2 linked regions of the Notamacropus eugenii genome follow. The main gene of each other region encodes a partner of the protein of the gene in region 2 in a complex. Links are inferred from orthologs where the notes say so. Each region holds a gene or a part of one and is shown on either strand. Other genes may lie near its edges.

The links. The genes of interacting proteins can lie anywhere in the genome.
Region 1: the proteins of AGT (region 2) and DPP3 are in contact, whole or in part, in a crystal structure (PDB 5E2Q), measured with the Homo sapiens proteins. The link is inferred for Notamacropus eugenii from reciprocal best matches to the Homo sapiens genes AGT and DPP3. Residues at the interface, in NP_001369746.2 of Homo sapiens: Asp25, Arg26, Val27, Tyr28, Ile29, His30, Pro31, Phe32; in NP_005691.2 of Homo sapiens: Phe109, Glu316, Tyr318, Glu329, Phe381, Gly385, Ile386, Pro387, Ala388, Gly389, Ile390, Asn391, Ile392, Asn394, Arg399, Val412, Leu413, Val415, Ala416, Phe443, Val447, His450, His455, Glu507, Glu508, Asn545, Arg548, Leu552, Glu555, Phe556.

Annotation. Positions count from the first base shown.
Region 1 is NC_092873.1:19,046,966-19,054,508, reverse strand, and holds the start of DPP3 (dipeptidyl peptidase 3), read right to left. Parts: upstream 3,009-7,543; 5' UTR 2,929-3,008; intron 1,867-2,928; 5' UTR 1,862-1,866; coding exon 1,592-1,861; intron 1,388-1,591; coding exon 1,298-1,387; intron 1,157-1,297; coding exon 1,019-1,156; intron 1-1,018. Other genes in the region: PELI3 (E3 ubiquitin-protein ligase pellino homolog 3), read right to left, coding at 7,291-7,543. UniProt on the Homo sapiens protein: Cleaves and degrades bioactive peptides, including angiotensin, Leu-enkephalin and Met-enkephalin. Also cleaves Arg-Arg-beta-naphthylamide (in vitro).
Region 2 is NC_092873.1:387,183,595-387,190,878, reverse strand, and holds the start of AGT (angiotensinogen), read right to left. Parts: upstream 3,004-7,284; 5' UTR 2,884-3,003; intron 945-2,883; exon of another isoform or gene 868-944; intron 1-867. UniProt on the Homo sapiens protein: Essential component of the renin-angiotensin system (RAS), a potent regulator of blood pressure, body fluid and electrolyte homeostasis.

The DNA.
Region 1 (7,543 bases), about 370 Mb from region 2:
GATGGGAAAGCAATCTTCCTAAAGTATAGATCTGACCATACTTCCCTTTCAATCAAAATGATGCAGTAGCCCCCTATTGCTCCTGGGTCAAGGTCAAAGTTCAGCTAAATTAAATCCCCTGAAATGTCCATCTCCCACCTCTGTGCCTTTGTCTCCTGTGTCTAGAAGGCTTGCCTTCTTCACCTCTATCACTTGGAATTTCCACTTTCCTTCAGAGCTCAGCTCATGCCTCACGTGTTCCATGTGAGCCTTCCTGCTGCCCCCAGTTACAGAGGACTGCAAACGTGTGAGGATTCTGAGGCTCATACAAATTAAGGGCCTTGCCTATAGTCATGCATCTAATGTCAGAGGCAGGACTTGAACTCAGGTCCTCCTCTTTCCATATCCCTACCAGTGGCCCTGCAGCTGCTGCTGCTTTCCTCTCTCTCTCCTGGACGTCTTCAACTCAAATGTCCAGTCCCCTTCATCCTCTGGTCCTCCTCCTGGACCCCGCCCAGCACATCCTTATACTCTCCCCCTCCCTCTTAGGCTCCCAGCCATAGAATCACCCAGAAAGGAAGGAGAGCATCCCCTGCTGGGCTTCTCTCCCCTCCAGTTCCACTATCCCCTAGAAGGAGTGGACTTTGGACTCTGGAGACCTTCGCCTGGACCCTGTGAACAAACACCTAGCATCTCTGTTTTCACTCATCTTCAGGGAAACTGAGCATCTCCTTCAATTATCACACGAACTACCAGATGTGACAGTGAGCAGGGGCCCAGGAAACAGGCCAGAGGAAGACCCCTGACCTCGTCCACCCCTCTCTTCTGACAGAGAAAGAGATCGCGGTGGGATTCGCATCCCGAGCGCTTCTACGGCATTGTGGTGTCTTGTCCCAACTAGACATGGCTTCTCTCATAGACATGCGTGTGAGCGCGTAGAGACACAGACACACACAGTCTACGGTGGACCTGGGGCATGAATCCAGGCCTGCTGGCTCCCGGCCCAATGGCATGGCATCTCTCCAATGCAGGCTCTCACCTCGCTTCCCAGGCCCAGATGACGCTGCTGGGGCTCCAGGGAGAACATGAGGCTCCCACAGATCTGCCAGAGCCCCTCAATCACTTCTGGCTGCTCTTGGGCAGCTCGGCTCCCCAACACCAACCGTTCCAGCTTCTCCTGCACATGAGGTAGGTGGGAGGTGGGGGAAGAAAAAAGAGGTTCGAGTTCAGATGTGCATGCTCACAGTCCCTCCCCAAAAGCCAGGTCAGGGGAATCCCCCAACCTCCCCCCAGTCTTCCTCTCCACTTCCTGCCTCACCTTGGGTAAGTTGGGGATGAACTTGGTGTCCCCAAAAGACTTGTAGTTCCCCATGTTGGCGTAGATCCCAGCAGTGTAGACCAGGAAAGCCTGAGGGGGCAGGAAATTGGTCAAGAGAGGAGGGCCAGGCCTGCAGCATTGGGGGTTCTGCTCAGAGAGCATGGAGGCCGCGCGTGTGCGTGTGCGTGTGTCTGTGTGTGTAGAGGACAGGAAGGGCTGCTGCCGACCTGGTGGTGAGGACCCCTGGTGTGGGGACAGGAGGCAGCCTAACTGTGAGCTAGCTGTGGGGCACACCTGATATTCGTCCTCTGTGAGACCCTCCTTCAGGGCACACTCCCGGAGCTGCTCAGGATCCTGGGCGCGAAACAGGCGACTGAGGAGAGTGTAGATGTGGGGGGACTCGGGAGAAGTCTGCAGAAGCACAACCAGACCCCCGTACCAGGCGGCCCGGGACAGATGGTGCGCGTAGAGCCTCTCCGTGGGGGACAGCAGGCCGAAGGCTTCCCGGCAGTCGAGGCTGGCGACGCCGATGTCGTTGGGGAGGATGTACTGGGGGTCCGTCATGGTGGCTGCCAAGGTGAGGCGGGGGCAGAAACGAGTCAGCAAAGCTCTGTAAAGGGTCTGCTCCGGCCAGAGGACACGGCGCACCCGCACCCGCGCGCACCCGCGCACACACACACACACACACACACACACGTCCACATAAAACACCCAGGACATGATGTGAAGGAGAAGAGCATTAAGACTTGCGGCCTCAGGGCTGGCAACAAGGGTTTGGGGCACGAGGCGGGGAGGGCACCGTGGGCATGGGGAGGGAATGGTGCACACAGGGACTCCTCTAAGTGGGGAAGTTCCTAGGGTGTGAGTTTACTGCCCAAGAAGGGTGGGATGAGCTGCTGGGGGGTTTGGGGGGTCAGGAGCGTCGGGCTCTCACGGAGCCCCTGCCTGCCTCAGTTTCCTCGTCTGTAAAGCGGGAGACAGCAGCTGGGGGGCAGGCTGAGGCCCCCCGCAGACCCAGGAGCTGCCTCCGCTGTGAGAAGGCATTTGTCCATCCTGCCCCCGGCCCTGGCGAAGGTCCAGGAGCCACCCTGACCCCCGGGCAAGTGGCATCCTCCCGAGTCAAGCCTCTGGCGTCTCCCCCAGGGTCTGGCAAGGGGCCACGCGCGCGGCCGCAGGGGAGGTTGCCCGGACAAGGCGTGGAGGAGCTCGGAGCCCCTCTCCCTCTGGTCCCCCCCTTCTCCCCCCTCCCCATTAGGCTAAGCTCCCCCAGGGCACGGGCTATTCCGATCGATCGTCACGTGGTGGGCAGGCTGGGCACACAGCTGGCGCTTAATGAATGCTGGCCCGCCCTTCGGTGCCCTGGATGCCCTGCGGCGGCTGGAGGGCCCCGCCAAGCCCACGTCCCAGCACTACCCCAGGGCCTCAGTTTCCCTGGGTGGGGAGTGGGGGGGCTCCTGCAGGGGCCCGGGCTGTTGCGTTTTGGCACGTGCCGGCACACGGGGCTCCCCCCGGCTCCGTCCTGATCGAGAACCTTCCAGGGCTAGGAGATCCCGGCCGGGGTGCAGAGAGGGTCCCTCGCTCCCGCCTGCACCCCGCTCCGCGCCCTCTGCCCCCCGCCAGGGTGCCCTCACCTGCACCAGCTGCTTCTCTCCCTCACTCCCTCACTCCCTCACTCACTTCCTGCTTCCGGCTGCTCATTCATTGGGGCCTCGCGACGCCCGCCCCTCCCCCAATCAGTGCCCGCCTTCGCCGTGACCGGCATGGCCTGCGACCAATGATCGCTCGGGCCATCGCGCCGGCCCCACCCCCCTCCTTCCTGTCTCCGCCTCCTCCCGCACGTGCTGCCGGGGCTGCTGGGGATTGGCCCGCGCGCCGCTCCCTTCCGGGATCTCCGTCCTTCGCTCCCCCGGGGGTGGCTCTGACCCTTATAGGCCGGGCCTCTCCGGGGCCCCTCCGGCCTGGCTTAGTCGTCTGTACCGTGAGAGGTGGCCCTTGAGGCGGGGCCTTGGCGGCTGGGGAGCCGTGATGAAGGGCGTGGGGTGAGAGAAGAAGCAGGCCGCGGAGAGGATTGCGGGGCCGCCTCCGCTTCTCCGGCCCATTTACGGATGAGGAAACTGAGGGTGACCTCCCCGAGTCAGTCACCCCGATGGGGGGCGCGGATGGAGGACCCCGGCTGCCCCCCAAAGCCTCGCGTGGTCCCCAAGCCTGCAGTCATGGCCGAGCACGTGTGGCCCACGTGCAGACGCGCCTCCTCTCTTTAGCCCGAGTCTCTAAGCAGAAGAGACGGCCGGTGGTGCCCCCCGCGGGCAGTGTGGGCATCCTGAGGGGCAGCTAGTGGCCCCACCTGAGGCCTCCCTGCCCTCACCCTTCCCGCTGGAAGCTAACAAAACAGAACCAAAGAAAGCCGAGGCTGGGCCTCCAAGCCCAGGGCTCTCCTCTCTCGCGCTGCCAGGCTGCTTTGGTTACCCCCTCCCCCACTTTCCTTGTCACCCAGAGGACGCTTGGAAAGAAAGGAGGCTGGGTGGTGTGGGCTGAGGCGCTTGCCTCTGGGCTCTCACTTCTCCTCTCCCCAGAGGCCTTTCTCTGTGATTTCCACGTTCTTATGGTCCCATTGACCACATGGTCCCCGACTTCCCTTAGGCAGGGACAAGCCCGGAGGCTGGGGAGGGCCCCAGTAGCAAGAGAGGACCTTAGATCTCAGCTAACTGCCCTCTCCTCCCCCTGGGGTATTCTCTGGGATGATGGAGGAGCGTCTTGTACAGGAAAGATACCAGAACGGAGCAGGACAACCCGGCTTTAAATCCTGGCTCTATAACTTACTTGGGGGACCTTGGGCAAGTCAGAGCTTGGTCATAGGAACATGTCTAGCCAGGCACCCCATGTCACTTGGTTGTGTGGTTGATTTATTTGGACCCAAGTTTCAAACTTTACATTATCTTGATTATACTTCATCTTTTTAGATTAGACCTCTTGGATCTCATCTTGTGATTGGCATTCTCTTAGATACTTCCTGCAATCCCTAACTGCCCTAAGCTGAGACTTGTGCTCTCCTCTACTTCTCGGGTCCTCATTTTCCTCATCTGTAAAATGCAGGAGCTGGACCAGATGACCTGCAAAGTCCCTTCTGACTCTAACTCCACTAATGATGCTTTATCATCCTGTCTAACTTTGTCCTTGGCCTCCCCAAAGTTCACATTGAAAGTGCCGTGGCCTTTCCATGCTTTCACTTGAAGTCTAGAACATACCAGTAGAGTGCTCCATCTGTCCAGTGGCTCTCTTGTCCTTTGGGTCACTTAACTTGTGTCTTGGAGGACACCCACCTGCCATAGTCCTCTCCATTGCCTTTGGCAGATTTTCACCTCTATTTTTCAGAGATCATGACATTCCCTGACCCACAGGTACCGCCCGTCTTCCAGAAGAGGCTGGCATTAAAAAGACAGGCCTTCCTTTCAGGAAGATGCCCGTGGTCATTAGAAGAAGTTTGCAAGATCTCAAAGGCCACCGGGCCTACTCTCCTCCTCCTACTTAATTCTGGGCCTGAAATCCCCCTCTGGGTGCTCAGTATAACATGGAAGTGACCCTGCACTGCCAGTGGAATGCAAGCACAGGTAAGTCTTATCACCTTGGAGGGGTTTTGGAGGATGAAACAAACTGTCCAAGGCTGGAGACTGCTTTCTAGATTAGAATGGAGAAGTTCACCCCCAGGATGCTGGCCATGGAGTGATGAATTCTTGGCTAGAGCAACCTAACTCCCCATTTAACAGATGGCCAAACTGAGACTCCCAGAAATAAGTGACTAGCTCAAGGTTGCACAGATATCACTACTCAGCAGAGCTAGAATGTAAACCCCAAACCTTGGGCTCCAAATTCAGTGCTCTTACTCCTACATATAGAAAATAATAACCCATCCGAACAATGCGGGTGATTCTATCTCTTCCACCTTTCTTTCAGGGTTGTTGTGGAGATCAAATGAAAAGATAGCCATCATAACATTTGGAAAAAACCCATTCAGCTTAGCCCTGTGCCACGGCCTGGTGGCCTCCTTATTGAAGAGGGCAAAGGACAGAGGTGAAAGACCTGATGTTACAACATCACTGAGCCTCGTGACTGTGGCCAGGTCGATCTGCTTGTTTTCTTATCTCTAAATGGGGTAGTTATATTTGCACTGCTGCAGGAGGCTGTTCTGAGGAAGAAACTTTTTAAGCCTTAAAAGTTATAGTAACAGGAAAATATCAGCATCTGATTATCTCGATATGCTTCCTGGAGCTGAAACTAAAGAAGGGTGATTGGTTTTGTCCCAGGACACTAAAATTTATGGGATGCAACAATTTAAAATAACGACCTAGAAATATTGTGCAATTTTAGAAATGGTTACATTTTGACATGATTTTTACTTCCTTGTCAGCCTACATGGGCCGCTAGGTGGCGCCATGGTGCGCAGAGCCTGGAGTCTGGAAGGCTTATTTACCCTAGTTCAAAGGAGACCTCAGACACTTACTAATTGTGTGACCCTGGGCAAGTCACTTAACTGTGTCTGCCTCAGTTTCCTCATCTGTAAAATGAGCCGAAGAAGGAAGCAGCAAACTTCTCCATTACCTTTGCCGAGAAAACCCCAGATGGGGTCACAGAGAGTCAGACACAATTGAAATGACTGGACAACAGAATAGAAATGCGTTTAGCAAGAATCATCACAGGAATTGAGCAGATGGCACTCTTCCTCCTCTCAGAAGCTGCTGACCAGGTAAGCGGCTCACTGATCCAGCCCTGTCTAAGGCCATCCTGCGCCTTCTCCAGCAGCAGACTGGCTGAGTCCTGAGGATGCTCGGCCAGCCTTGCCCCAGGGTGACACAGGGCTGTCTAGTCCAGTTCCAGCGCTGGTGATGCCAGCTGGGCTTGTTTGTTCATGTACATGTTGGACATAGCTCCCTTCAGCCAACCCCCCCCCCCCCAATCACTCATCCTCTGCAGGGAGCTGGCCCATCTCTCCCTCTTTTCTGATGGACTTAGCCAGGTCACAGCCCCAGAAGTGGGCATACAGCCTGGCCATACCTGGGGAAGTGCCCCTGAAGGAGAGCTGGTTGTGGAGCTTGGGCACTATGTGACCTAGGAAATGGGATGGGCCACTGCATATTGGGAGGACAGAGAAAGGGGGTTCTCCACTCCTGATCAGCTGCAGGACGCCGGGCTCATTCAGCTGGGCTTTCCCCATGCTCTTCTCTCTGTTCCTAGGATAGATTCCTCCTCAGGGTCAGGGAGGGTTTCACTAGGTTCATTCTCTAGGCCCCTCCCTGTCCCTGCCTCCCTGCCTCCCCCCAATAACCAGAGGCAGCACAGGACACCAGAGAAGGGCAGCCGAGCAGTGAGGTTTATAAAGAGACCCGGGGGGTAGCAGCAGGAAGGTCTGAGCAGCTGGAGACTGCAAAGGGCTCAGGCCTGGGACGGCTCTTCTGCCAGGGGGCGAGCAGCACGGCAGGGCAGGGGGGAGGGGATGCCACCCTCCCAGACTCCCTCCTTCCCTGCCGCCAGGGCACAGTGTTACACGGCATGATGGGGGACGTGCGGGGCGGAGGCGTCCCCGGGACCAGCCTAGACGTTGGATCCGATGAAGCAAGAGGGGAAATCCTGGCACCAGAGACTTTGTCCATCAGATAGTGAATGGAGGAGAGCCACAGGGACCCCACCCTACTCCAGCCAATCCAGAGGAGCCGTCACTGGAGAGTGATGCAGATCCGGGAATGTGATCTGCACCCCTCCCTCCACCTGGACCCCCCTCAGTCTGAGCGAGCATCCAGGCAGACGTCCTGGGGGGGAACTGCTTCATCTTACAGACACCACGAGTCAGTGCCGCCAGGGCCAGAGGTGCCTTTCAGTCCCACCAACGGCAGCCCCAGAGGGCTGTCCCATCTCTCTAGTCTGATACAGCAGGAGCTAAGAGACCTGGGTCCCAGAGCTGGGGGACCTCAGCCTGGAGCCAGGAGACTCACACTCCTGCCCTAGTCCAGAGGGCCCTGGAAGATAAGGCGGACACAGCCATTCTCCCCTGTGAGCCAAGCCCCACAGAAGGGACAGGCAGCATGGAAGGCATGGGTGCCGTGGGGCAGCGGTGTCTGGGCCCAGTAGCGGGCTGTTTTCTCAGAGCAGACGTGGCCACAAGGTGCAAAGGCATGACTTGGGGGCCCAGGGTCCAGGCACAGCCCTGCCTCTTGGCCCAGCCACAAGGGCACATAGGGCCCCACCAGGCGGCAC
Region 2 (7,284 bases):
CAATACAGGCTTCCTTATCCTCCTTTTGCACATGAGGAAACAAGATCAGATTACGTGATTTGCTTTTGGTCAAACAGCTAGTAAGTATTAAAACGGGGTATAAGCACTGTGCTAAGTACATAAAAAAATGTATTTTCAAATTATCTCATTTGATCCTTATAACAACGCTGTGGTTAATTGCTATCATTATCCCCATTTTACAGTTGAGGAAACTGAGGTAAACAGAGGTTACATGATTTGCCCAAGATCACACAGGTAGTAAGTGAGATCAGATTTAAATTCCGATCTTCCTGATCCAAAACCTGGCTCCCTATCCTCTCCATTGGTCATAGGATCCTAGGATCCTTATCCAGAGCTGGAAAGAAACTCAGATATCATCCAGTTCAACCCTCTCACTTTATGAATGAGGAAAGAGAGACCCAGAATAGTTAAGTGATTTGTCCAAGGTCATACAACAGAGGCAGATTTGAGGCAGGATTTGAACCAAGGTCCTCTAACTCCAAAAGTAACACTCTTTCTGCTTTAAATCCAGTTCTGTTTGTGCTACCCAATGCTACTCAAAAACTCAGCTCCTCTTACTCTGCCCTCAGGGAGGTTAATATCTACCCATCATTAAAAAACATACCATACTATAAAATTGGATATTATGTATGATTTAAATATGCTTAAGTTCTTAACTACAGCCTTTAATTTTAACTACACCACTGCTGAACAACATCACTTTGTGGTCCACTATGATCCTTAGACTTTTTTTCTACTGTCCTTGACATGACCAGGGATTCCTATCTTGTATCTATACAACTGTATGTCCTGTATTTACTTTTCCTTCATCTTGCGTACCACGATGCTAGACACATAATAACCTACCTTTGTCATTGAGAAGAATCTTAACCTTTTTCTGTTCATGTCTTCAGTTTCCACAGTCTCTTCAAATCTTGATCCTGTTCACCTGGACATAATCTAAAGCCTGAAGATTTTCTTCACCATGCCCCAACCCTTGCCCCAGTTTATGCATTCTGATTTTACCTACAATTTTTACCAAACGTAAATGACTGGGGAGGCATATCCTGGCTTAGATACTATTTGATACTCAGCAAATTACTTATGCTTTCTCTACCCAGGACAATATTCTAAATTTGTGTTAAAGAACCACATCATTAGAAGGTGTTTCCACACCAGAAGTGTCTGCTTGAAATTACATATTTAGATTTAAAACAAACAAATAAATATAATGAAGAAGGGAAATAGGAAATATCCTCTGAACCACTCCAAGCAAAGCCTGATTTGCCAAATGATTTCTCATCTAAATGAGTCAACAGTAAAAGCTTTGGGAATCAATTGCCCAATAAGCTCTCTGCAGTTATGGATATGTAGGCAGGGCATGGGGCTGCTTAATCCAGATAAGACAGAAATGCACTCCCTTCTCCCCGTCTCAGCCCTTTCTGCAGTTTATGGCCACCCTCTCAAACTAAACAATTTCATGGATCTTTTTCAAGCTAAAGACTCTTTCCCCTTCAATTGTAGTCTTTAGCTTTGTTCCCCTTCCCCCAATTCTCACCCCATCCCCAACAAGCCTATGTTTCTAGATAGGATGCAGCTGGTGTTTTGAAAATGAAAGATGGTTCCATCTGTTGCAGATCTCACAGTTCTTCCCTCATCTTCCCTCTTCTCTTCTTTCCCATTTGGCTCATTCCCCCTCCTTTTTAACTCTTTCCTTCTTCAATTGCCCCTCCCCTTTATTTCAATTTCAGCTATTTGGGGCTCCAAGGCCTGGCAGCCAGGACAAAACAATCACAAAGTGGTAGGCAGATTGGCCTCAAATTACTCTCTGGAGGGAGCTGATGGAAGGAAAAAGGAGGGTGCCAAACCATGTCTGCACTAGGTCTCTTGTGTGACCTCTCTCCCAGCCTCCCCTGGAATTGATTTTGAAAGGTTCATACTACAGGGGTATAAGTGTATCGGTTCACAGGGGCAGCAGTCTGGGGGGAAAGCACTGTAATGAGAGTCAGGTTCCTAGGCTCTGACTCCTCATATATAGATTTAAGAGCAAAATAAAGGCAATGAAGTCCAACCTCCACATCTTACCAACAAGGAAACTGTTGAAGGTCACACAACTAGTAAGTGTCTGAGGGGAGATCTGAACTAAGGTCTTCCTGAATCTAGGTCCAGGGCTCTATCCACCATGTTAATCAACCTTTGCTCCTTCCATTATGCAGAACCCAGCTTATCTGGGAGAGTTTCACCTTCAATCTCCTGGGAGGTTGAAGCTCCTTTTTTCTTTCTCAAAAAGACTCATCAACGATGGGGATTGAGGATCTGGCCAGGCCTCCACATCTCCTTCCTCACATGCCCATGCTGTTGCCTACCATCAGTCATAGCACTGGCTGCCTTCTCCTCTTTGACTTGGGGCTATCCTGGCTGCATAACACAAGCCTGCCTCCTTCTCCCCATCTTTAGTCTTGGGTACAGAAGTAGAGAGGACACATTTATTACAGTCATGGTCTCATTCTCATGATTTCACAAGGGAGTTGGAACTTGTAAAACAAAACCAAAAAATTAGGAAAAAAAACCCCCAAAAACCTCTTGGGGGCAGAGTGGGAAAACTTCAGGCAAAGAGAATTAATGAGATGTTCAATAGTTTCTTTCTGTTGCCTCAGCCTCCTGCTGTCAAAAGTTCCCTACCAAGCAGCTTGTTCCTGGCTCATTGTGTTCCCAGTTTGATTTTTCCCAGACAAGCTGCCCTCTACTGCCATTCAAAGTTATTGTTATTTTCCAGCGCTGTCCTCCCTCTCTCTTAATCTTTCTTGGCCCCAGTTGCCAAGATCACCTACAGACAACTGAGGGAGAAGAGAGAAGAAGGGTCCCCAGCCACTCCAGGCTTACCTCTTACTCCAGAACTCAGGGACTCAGGCTGCCTTTTCCACCAAAAGTCCTAGGACACCTTTCTCCAGTCTGGGGGTACTGCAGCTATATTTATACTGGAGGACAGGGGATGAGAGACATTCCGAAGCCTTCCTGTGTTCTGGCTGGCAGGAGGGATGACATCACTCAGGCCAAGGGCGCCAGGGCTGACTAGATCGAAGCCAAACATGTGGATGCAAGCGTCTTTTATCGGAAAAGCTTCCAAATCAACGCACACTTACCCCAGAGAACACTGTGGCTTGGTATAGGCTCAAGTTACATATTTACTAAGTAGACTGGAACCAGGGCCCCAGCCACTCATTGACACATGCAAGTGTCTGTGTATGTGTGTGTGACTAAAAGCTGCTCTCTTGTGTGACCCCTTTCCCAGCCTCCCCTGGAATTGATTTTGAAAAGTTCATGCTACAGGGGTATTAAGTGTATCGGTTCACAGGGGCAGTGGTCTGGGGGGAAAGCCCTGTAGTGAGAGTCAGGTTCCTAGGATCTGACTCCTCATATATGGATTTAAGAGCAAAATAAAATGAAGTCTGACCTCCACATCTTACCAACAAGGAAACTTGTTGAAGGTCACACAACTAGTAAGTGTCTGAGGGGAGATCTGAACTAAGGTCTTCCTGAATCTAGGTCCAGGGCTCTATCCACTGTGTTAACCAACCTTAGGTGAGTCTCTAGGATTCAAATTTCTTTACCTATAAAATGAGGAAATTGAACCAAACAATAGCTAACATTTATATGTGCTAAGTTCTTTACACCTATCTCATTTGAGCCTCACAACCATCCTGGGAAGTAGGTACTCTTATTATCCCTATTTTACAGATAAGAAAACTGAGGTAAACAGAGGTTAAATGACTTGCCCAGGGTCACACAGCTATTAAGTGAATGAGGTCAAATTTGAACTCAGGTCTTCCTACTTCCAGGCCCTCTGCTCTACACATCATACCACCTAGCTGCCCTATAAAATTTTTTGACTTTATGTCTGAGGAGAGGAGATGCCTAGTAAAAAAGTGGCTAAAAGAAAGAGGCAACTTCTCATATGGAGGGCCCTTAGGCTGGGCATCTAGGTGAAGCAGTGAAAAAAGTGCAGGTATTGGAATCAGAAAGAACTGAGTTCAACTCTAGCTACAGACACCTGCTAGCTATGTGACCCCATGCAGGTCACTTAACCTTGTTTGCTTCAGTTTCCTCATCTATAAAATGATCTGGAGAAAGAAATGGCAAAGCACTCTAGTATCTTTGCCAAGAAAACCCCAAATGGAGTCATGATGAATCAGACATGAATGAAACAACTCAATAACAAAAATAGGCTGTAAAATTACACGCACGTAGTCATTTCCAAACCACACAGCTTGCATTCGCATTCTCTCCAGAACTCATATCTCGCTCCCCCCCACCCTGGTCTCTGACAGGTGAGATTTCACATTATCGTTCCTGGAACCAGGCTACCACAATACTCCTTGGCTGCAAGGACCATGTCCTGTTTTTCAACTGTAGCTCCCCTTTATATATGGATATGCTGGTCAGCTTACTCTTGCTCAATTTTCAGCGTGGGCGTTTACAGGGCAGAAATCAGCGAACACTGGAAATCAGGGCTTGATATGTTTTTTTGATTGTCTAGACTTAAGGAAGAGAAAATGTTAATGATGCAGATTAAACTTGATAGTTTTACGTTACTCAAATTTATATTATTTGTATTTATATATTTATATTCCTAACACTTTTCACAGTGCCTGGCCCATATTAGGCATTTAATAATGCCTTTTCATTCATTCAGTAAGTCATGTCGTTGGGAACACTTGTATGAAACAAGGCAGACAAAAGTATGCAAAACTAGAGAAGTAATACACACAACGGCCAACACAACGCAAATAAAAACTGCACTAAAAGGCAATTGAATTCATAGTAATATCAATAACCAATCTTAATCCCTAAGAAGAAGTGGTGAAACATTTACTTCCTCTCATTAGAGAGATGGGTAAGAAATGCTACATATGCTGTCAGTCAGTGGGGTTTTATTTAACAATATCTTTATGACAAAGGAGGGTTCACTGTGAGAGGTAGGGATTATATCAGAAAATGGCTGTCATTTTTTAAAAAATAAAAAGCATTGGTAAATTTTTGAAACTGTGTCCTCCACTTACTCTCCAATAATCCCAGTTGTTCTGAACAAACAGCTTTGATCTTTAATAATATTCCACTGATGATTTATTTTTTAAAGATGAAATTACTATCCAAAAAATCATTCATTTTGATCAAGTTGAATTCATGCTAGGAATAGAAGGATTGTTGCTTCTGCATTAGGAAAACAATCAATATAATTATTCATATTAAAATCAAAAACATCCCAAGCCTTATGATTATTATAGTTTCAAAAAAAGCTTTTGACAAAGAACAACATTCATTTATGCTAAAAGCCCTACAATGAATGAAAAAAAGCCCCACAAAGTATAGGTATAGAGGGACCATTTTTTAAGTATCTTACAAAGTACCTTTCTAAAACCAAAAGTGAACATCATAAACAACTGGGAAAACTGGAGCCTTTTCCACTGAACATAGCAGCAAAGTAAGGATGCCCACTCTCAAACTATTATTTAATGTAATTCTGGAAATGCTAGCAATAGCAATAAGACAAGAGAAAGAAATTAAAGGCATAAAGATAAGTAAAGAGGAGATTTAAACTATCCTTATTTGCCAGGCCTAGAGGCCTGAGGGCTACCCGAGTCTTACCTTACCTATCGCAGGTCTTCGGCTGGCCAAACCGGATAAACTTATGAGAGAAGAGACTTTCCAGAGTCGAACGAGGGTTAGGCTTTATTCAGGGTCTTGGTTACATGTGCAGGGGGAACTCTTCCTTAGGAGAGAGGGAAATCTCCCAAGGAGGCAAAGATCTTACAGTAAGAGAATGAAAGCAGAAGTGGAAGTGGGGAGAGAGGGGAGAGGGACCTTCTGTCCTGTAAGGGTCCCTCAGCGCTAAGAGCGCCTTCAGGCTTTCCTGACCCTACTTAAGCTCTCCTGCCACATAGTTTGCACCTGAATACCGTGCCTGTTAGATAACAATAGGTGTGCTCAGACCCGGGCCAATCTCAAGGGCGGGGATGCTCTCTCCCAGCGTTTCCCACGGGAAGAGGCGGAAATGCACGAGATAGCTCGGTCTCACACCTCAATTCCCTGCTGTTCCCTGGGGGGCCTCATGAGAACTCTAAGGTTTAGAAGTTCTCACCTTTACCCACCCGAGACTATCCACATGGAACTGAGCTTACACCCCCAACACTTATTTGCTTATGATATGATGGTATGCTTAGAAAATCCTAGGGAATCAGCAAAAATACATTGAGATAATAGCTTCAGCAAAGTGGTAGACTACAAAATAAACCCTCAAAAATCAACTGCATTTCTATATAATAATAACAAAATTCAAGAGGCAATAGCAGAAAGGGAATTTCCACCACAAATAATTACAAAATGATCAATCTGCCAAAGTAGTCAAAAGAACAACAAGTAGTTGTAGGAATATTCAATGTTCATCGCTGGGTCCTGCCCATATTTAAAAAAGATAATACTGCCAAAGTTAATTTATACTTTTAATACTATGCCACTCATTCTATCAGAGGAATACTTTATAAAATTTGATAAAAGTAACAACACTAATTTGGAGAAATAAAAGAAGAGAGGAGTCAAAGCTACAGCCCACAGACCTCCCTTGTGGGCCTGAATCAGTTTAAAATGTAATTGGAAAATGCTAAATACATTACAACACAGATAATGTTAATTTGTAGTTTTCTAAGTCAATATGTGAACTGATAGGAACCTATTTCTATTTGAGCTTGACACCACTGATGTAGAATATTAAAGAAAATGATGAAAAGAAATTAGGGACAAAAAGGGAATAAACTACGTTATAAAGCAGCAGTCACTAAAACATAAATGTAGACCAATTGAACAGACTGTGGAGAATTAGAAACAATGGAACTCAATAACCCAGTATTAGTGGAGCTGTGATTTGACGAAATCATTTTGGAAAGCAATTTGCAATTATGCAAATAACATGACTAAAATGTTTATTCTCTTTGACCTAGAAATTCCATTGATGGGTCCAAGGAAGTCCAGGGAAGCCATTAGTTAAAAGAAAGTTCCCATATACCAAAACATGTATAGTATACCTTTTATAATAAAGAATTGGAAACAAAGTAGATGCCCATTGATTAGAGAATGACTAAATAAACTGTGGTATATTAATGTTATAGAACATTATATGCGTGCTGTAAGAAATGATAAATGTGATGAAAACAGAGAAGTGTGGAAAGACCCACATGAACTAATGAAGAATGAAGTAGAGAGCCAAGAAACAATATACACGATGATGGT